Macaca mulatta: one gene and its partner. The protein of the gene in region 1 interacts with the protein of each later gene in a pairwise test. Links are inferred from orthologs where the notes say so. Each region holds a gene or a part of one and is shown in the gene's direction. Other genes may lie near its edges.

The links.
Region 2: the proteins of METTL21A (region 1) and FAM200C interact in binary tests that used the Homo sapiens proteins (3 or more experiments, as listed by UniProt). The two-hybrid records come from large-scale screens. The link is inferred for Macaca mulatta from reciprocal best matches to the Homo sapiens genes METTL21A and FAM200C.

The regions. Positions count from the first base shown.
Region 1 is NC_133417.1:112,878,233-112,881,211, reverse strand, and holds the end of METTL21A (protein N-lysine methyltransferase METTL21A), read left to right. Parts: intron 1-531; coding exon 532-929; 3' UTR 930-2,378; downstream 2,379-2,979. UniProt on the Homo sapiens protein: Protein-lysine methyltransferase that selectively trimethylates residues in heat shock protein 70 (HSP70) family members. Contributes to the in vivo trimethylation of Lys residues in HSPA1 and HSPA8.
Region 2 is NC_133411.1:169,255,138-169,259,485, reverse strand, and holds the start of FAM200C (protein FAM200C), read left to right. Parts: upstream 1-1,514; 5' UTR 1,515-1,925; intron 1,926-4,348.

The DNA.
Region 1 (2,979 bases):
TTTTTGAGATGGAGTTTTGTTCTTGTCACCTAGGCTGAAGTGCAGTGGCGAGATCTCAGCTCTGCAACCTCCATCTCCCAGGTTCAAGCGATTCCCCTGCCTCAGCCTCCCGAATAGCTGGGATTACAGGTACCCGCCACCATGCCTGGCTAGTTTTGTATTTTTAGTTGGCCATGTTGGCCAGGCTGATCTCCAACTCCTGACCTCAGGAGATCTGCCCGCCTTGGCCTCCCAAAGTGCTGGGATTAAAGGCATGAGCCACCGCACCCAGCCAATTCTGCAATTTATGGGCACAATTTTAGCAAATAGCAGGTATGTCATAGAGGGAAATCCAGAGTCACTTTTGCCAGTAGTTAGTGCAAAAGGAGTTATGAGTCATTTTTCTATTGCAGCTGTCCATGAAAGGCATGATTGATATTCTGCGTATCAGATGCAATATTTAAGAGACACTCTACATTTAACTTGACCCCCTCTCTACCTAACAGAGCTGTACTGATGTGCACATCACTTTTTCTTTGTCCCACATTGTAGGTGCTCATGTGACTATCACGGATCGAAAAGTAGCATTAGAATTTCTTAAATCAAACGTTCAAGCCAACTTACCTCCTCATATCCAACCCAAAACTGTTGTTAAGGAGCTGACTTGGGGACAGAATTTGGGGAGTTTTTCTCCTGGAGAATTTGACCTGATACTTGGAGCTGATATCATATATTTAGAAGAAACATTCACAGATCTTCTTCAAACACTGGAACATCTCTGTAGCAATCACTCCGTGATTCTTTTAGCATGCCGAATTCGCTATGAACGGGATAACAACTTCTTAGCAATGCTGGAGAGGCAGTTTACTGTGAGAAAGGTTCACTATGATCCTGAAAAAGATGTACATATTTACGAAGCACAGAAGAGAAACCAGAAGGAGGACTTATAATTGGCTATAATTTATAAGAATGCTGTCATTGAGTGTGCCACTTAAGGTCTTAGACTGCAAATCTAAACATATTTAATGAAATGTCTTACTGTACAAAAAGTCTAAAGCAAAGGTTCTCAGGGGAGAAAGCACATGTGCAGTTTTAAAACAAAGCAGTGCTTTGTCCCATTGCTATGAGTTTTAGTCATATTTACTCACACTGAAATCCAATTAACATTAAAGGATTAAGTGTGAGATTTTGGTTTATGCTATTTCTGTATCTCATACTATTCCCTCTTAATAAAGTTTCCACTGATGACATGAAGGCTGGTATAAAGATGTCTTTAAATGAGCAAGCTTTCTTTGGTAAGATTAAATCTTAACAAATTATTTTTAAAACCTTCTGATATATACAATGTTTAGCCAAGTTTTCTAATTTTCTGGATGTAAAACAAAAGGTTTAACATACATTCCTTGAGCTGTTAGTGCTATTGAAACCTTTTGCCCTGTTTAGATCCTAAAAACTTTTAGTTGGTTGAGTAGGATATGAGTTTTTTTGAGTCTCATATCATACTTTTTGCCTTAATTTCAGGTTTATATATGTTAATAAAGGAATTAAATAAAAATGAAATTTCAGTTACTTTTTGAAAGCACCTGAAATCTGGCTGGGTGCGGTGGCTCATGCCTGAAATCCCACCAATTTGGGAGGCTGAGGCGGGCAGATCACCTGAGGTCAGGAGTTCAAAAACAGCCTGGCCAACATGGTGAAACCCCATCTCTACTAAAAATACAAAAATTAGCCGGGCGTGGTGGCAGGCGCCTGTAATCCCAGCTACTTGGGAGGCTGAGGCAGGAGAATCACTTGAACCTGGGAGGCAGAGGTTGCAGTGAGCTGAGATTGGGGACAAGAGCAAGACTCCGTCTCAAAAAAAAAAAAAAAAAAAGCACCTGAAATCTTGAATATGTTGTCTATTTCAAGTCAAAAGCTGAGGTTTTCCCCTTCTGCTTTACCCTTGCTCAAATGTCTTAATGCAGTTCTTTCCCGAGCTTTCCTTGCTTCCTTAACAATGCATAGGATGACATTAGAAGTTTTAAATCTCATCCCTCCCTGAGATGTTAGCTTCCCACATATAAGCTCCTTTTGTATTGTACTTGTAATTGCTCATTCAACATTAGTATTGCCCCATAGAGTGTAAGCTTCTTGAGGGCCAAGAATGCTTCTGCCTCTTCCATTGTTGCTTCCCGAGTACCTTCTGTATATTTCATAACCAAATAATGAAAAAGATATATTCCATTTAAAGGACATTGACTTTGGGTTAAATGATTGTTATACTGTTTGATGATTATCTTTGATACACTTTGACATCTCACATACACACGAACTTTTCTTTTTACAATGCAAACGTTTAAACAATAGCTTAACTTTAGACTGCAAGAATATTATAATCTCAATATGGTATTTGGTACTAGAGATAGATTTCTTTTATAAAATCTTAAAAACAGGACGTTCTCTTCCTTTTGATCCCAGAGGTGAAAATATTCAGTATGTTGTTTTCTACATATATTGAAATAGCAGTTTCACTTTAATAAAGATGGATTAAAAGTTGTGAGCATTCTGTGATATACTAGTTCAACACAATTCTAATACACATGAAATGGAAATACCCATTGCTTACTGAATCCATAAAATGTCAGTGCTGCACCATGAATATGAAAGATTGTTTAAAACAAAGCCTGGCAGTATCACCAACACTATAATGACAAGCCAGTTCCACTTAGGTATGTTATCGGAAATGCATATATTAGTTAGAGTTCAGTTTCTTTAAGATCCATAACTTTGGAGATGGGTGTTAACATGGATGGGGCAGGGTGGGTTAGAGGTGGGAGCTTCAATAATATGCCTGGGTGATCTACCAAATGAGGTAAGCTATTATTGGGTTGTTTTCCATTTTCATAAAACATTAAGAATCAGAAAAATTTGAAAGCAGCTTTTTTCCTTTGACCTACAAATTAGAAGCACAGGCAAGAAAAAACAAAAATCATCAGAAATAGTTAGGTTGTCCAAGTGAAA
Region 2 (4,348 bases), on another chromosome or scaffold:
TTCTGTGAGTTTAAGAAAATTTCAGCATCCTGTCACCTAACCTTTCTGTACCTCTTTCCCTCTTCTATGAGGCCTAGTTTACTTTGATTTAGGAAGAATTCTATAATATCCAGAATCATGTCTTCTGTTTTATTTTCGAAAAGTAATGCCCAGCCAGCCTGGCCAACATAGCGGAACCCCATCTCTATTAAAAATACAAAAATTAGTTGGGCATGGTGGCACACACCTATAATCCCAGCTACTCAGGAGGCTGAGGCATGAGAATTGCTTGAACCCGGGAGGTGGAGGTTGCAGTGAGCAGAGATTGCACCACTGCACTCCAGCCTGGGCAACAGAATGAGACCCTGTCTCAAAATCGTAATGCCTAGGACATTATTCAGATTGAGCTTTGATTTTATTATCTCAATTATAGCTGCCTTTTCGAGAATTATGTACTGTAATTGTCATAATGTTACCTCCTTCCTCAAAAGAACTTCATGGGGTAATGGATGATCTATCAATTTTACAAAAAGCACATGGAATTAACTCCAAGTAATCTGCACAAATCCTAACCGTTGTAAGTATTGGAGTCAGGACATGAAGCTAGCTGTCTCGGATTCTGAAGCCTATCCCCTTCTCTAGTATTTAAGGCCCTAGTTTCTTGACCAACAAGGCTGGTCTTATAGCAGTTTCTTGCATCCACAAAAACTTATGCAGCCCCTCAATATTTACCAGGCTCACCCTCAGCACCTGAAAATGATGTATCTGGCCCACGTTCTTTGACGCCCCACCACTCCTCACACACACTAGCCTTATAGAATGCTTCTAACAATATTGTACAAAAATGAGTAAACTCATTTAAGTTTATAAGAATTCTGGAAAGACCCCCAAACAGGAAAGGGCTATATTCCGGTTTACTTCTTTCAACAACGTTTCCTAGTCTCTACTTGGGATTTTTCCCTAAAACCTCTCTAATATGGGTTTATTTCTTTGAAATCATGTTGTTGAAAGAATTTTAAATAAAAATCTTTCCTCTGAGATGGATGATGATAAGGAAATTCATCCCCATGTTCCCACTTAAGGAAAGGCGGGGGGATCACCCTGCATGGACAACAGTACACAAGCTATGGAAGCTCATCCTCCACTGCTGAAATGTCTAATCTGAGATTACAATGAGCTTCCTTCTCTTTTTCTCTCATTTATTCCACATGGAACATGGTAATTATCAAGCGTTTTATCATCTCCAAGCTCAAAGCCCAACACAATATAAAAGTTTCAGTGCTCTGCATGTTAAAAAGAACTATGTGTAGTTTGTAGCCCCTTCCATTCCTGAAATTGTACGGTTCATCCTCTCTGGCAGACACAATAAACAAACGATTTTGTGTTCCACGTACACAACCTCAAAGAAAGGGGGAGGGCCAGCGCGCATGCTCAGTACTCAAGCCCGCCAGCCCATCCCACAGCCCTTTGCTACTGCGCCTGCGTGTGGGAGACGCCTCGCCCAGTTTACGGGCGGGAAGCACCCTGGAGAACCCGGATGGAACTCGGGCCTGGCTGAGGCGGAGGTTGTTGCGGATGCTCGTCTCTGCAGGCGCACCGCAGATTCCTGCTGGGGGGTCAGACCTGAGGAATCGCCGTCTCTACTGGTTCTGACGGCCAGAGGCTGGACCCTAGGCTGAGCGGAGAGCGGAACTGGAGCCTGAAACAGGCGCCTAAAAGAAGCCCGAGCATCCCATGGGCCTGCGCCTCAGGCTCGGAGACGGGCGGGCGGAGACAGCACTGAGTCTTTTTCTTTTTTTTTTTTCCTAGCCGCTGGCGTTCCTATCTCACCCTGGAGGGTGTAAAAATCTCCGTCCTTAACAGTAACACCATCAGGTCCTATCAATTAAGAGCTGCTTGTTATTTGCATGCATTCTTATAATTAAACCTCCCAACAACCCCGTAAGGTAGGTACTGTTATCCCCTCTGGAGGAACTGAAGCTTGGAAAGGTCCCAGCCTGTAAGTGACAAAGCCACGATCCCAGGCGTTTGCCCCTGGAGCGTCTGCCCAGCCACCAAGTTCCTGCCCCCTTTCTCCTGGCTATTAATTTTAACTGCAAAATGTAATGCTTAAATGCTCTGCCTCCCCAAACACCTGCGCCTACCATGATCTTGCATACTCAGTGGCTGGATAGAAGTTGAATTGTATTTGGTTTGGAGTTTCAGGTTTACAACTGCACTTTGGTGTTTTCACTGCTGGAATGAATATATATATATGTGTGTGTGTGTGTGTGTGTGTGTATTAGCATTCCCTAAATGTTTTGTGAGTGTTCACTTTTAACTGATTTTTCTCAATTGTAATACTTTTTCATATCTACCCTTCATAAACTTGCCAAAACATTTTACTTTGTGATATCAGATCTTTCATTAAGCCTCTGAAGATAATCTCTCAAAAGAATCATTCTTAAAATGAGTGATATCTATCTATCTTAAGATAATGCTTTTTTTATTATGGAAAGTTTCCGAAATACATAAAAATCGAATGGTGTAATGATGTGTACCCATCATCCAGCTTCAAGAGTTACCAACTTAAGGCCAGTCATTTCTTTTATCTCCACCCCGCTTTGTGCATGTTTGTGAGTGTGCTGAAGTATAGTATTTCAAAGGAATCCCAGACATCTTATTTCACTTGTAAGTAATCGTGTCGAACACATGAGGACTTTTTAAAAACACAACCACAATACCATTATCATGCCTGTTTAACAATATCTCATTATGATGATGATGCTTTTTAATGTTTACATTTTTTAGGATATTGTAATTCCTAAATACCACAAAAAGCGCAAGTACAAATTGTGAGATTCTAAAACAAGCCTCTTGGGCAGTAAGTTCATCTTTGAGGCTCTGGAAAATTCTTGCCACTTATTCTCCCTTTTTCAGGGGGATGGAGAAGAATACCATAAATTGATTTTCCTAAAACTTTTGTTCAAAACAGATAAATTTTAAATTAAAATATACTTGAGAGACATAGTCAAGGTGGATAGGAAATGGCCTCTTAACAGATCTTGTAATGATTTCTGGTTTGTTCTGTTTTGTTTTTGAGACAGTCTCACTCTCACCCAGTCTGGAGAGTGCGGTGGCGTCATCTCAGCACACTGCAACCTCTGCCTCCCAGATCAAGCGATTCTCCTGCGTCAGCCTCTCCAGTAGCTGGGAGTACAGGCACCCACCACCATGCACAGCTAATTTTTGTATTTTTAGTAGACGAGTTTTCACCAAGTTGGCCAGGCCAGTCTTGAACTCCTGAGATCAGGTGACCCGCCCTCCTCAGCCTCCCAAAGTGCTGGAATTATGGACATGAGCCACCATGCCCAGCCTTTTTTTTGAGACAGAGTCTGGCTGTCCTTAGGCTGGAGTGCAGTGGCGTGATCTCAGCTCACTGCAACCTCTGCCCCCTGGGTTCAAGCGATTCTCCTGCCTCAGCCTCCCAAGTAGCTGGGATTACAGGCATGCGCCACCACACCCAGCTAATTTTTGTATTTTTATTAGAGACAGAGTTTCACTATGTTGGCCAGGCTGGTCTGGAACTCCTGACCTCAAGTGATCCACCCACCTTGGCCTCCCAAAGTGCTGAGATTACAGGCACGAGTCACCACACCAGGCCCCTCTTGTAAAGATTTCTAATGTGACTAAAAACATTTTCCTCTATTCCCTCTGCCTCCCCAAATATTACATGATAAATATACATTAATAGAATACAGAAAAATAAGCATTTTATGGTAATGTCATAATTTTATTGTCATTAATTAGAAGTGGTTCTAAGCAAAAGTAGTCATGTAGTCTCATTACTTGACAAATGAAGGCTTAAGATCAGCTCTTTAAACTTCGGGTTGCCTTTTTTGATTGGCAGATATCCTCCAGTTTAACAGGCTCATAACAACCGTGTAACAGATCAACTTATTTTATTGGAGTACACTTTACAACTAGTTCATCTTGGTAGATCCACTTGAAAGCTAATGCTTTAAGTAGATATTCTTGGCTTGTGATTTTTCTTTTAATGGCCAAAGTGGGCATTCGGATTTAAATGTATACCTGTTACTTTATTTCAGCCACATTCTCTGGCACAGAACTTCGGAAACTTTGGGGATCACTTATTTATCTTGGAGATAGAATGTTTTCTAAGGTCTATTTGAGCCTACCTGTGGATTATGCCTTTACTCATTGCTAAAGAGACAGAAAGAGAAAAGACATGGTTTTCATTTTAGGTTTCAACTTTCATAGGAGGATGTCATCAGCTCAGAAAACGTAGAAAATTTAAATATCTATTCAAGCATTGGGACCATTCACTTAGACACCTAGAATATTTGTTAGCTAAGGATTGGTTTGAAGG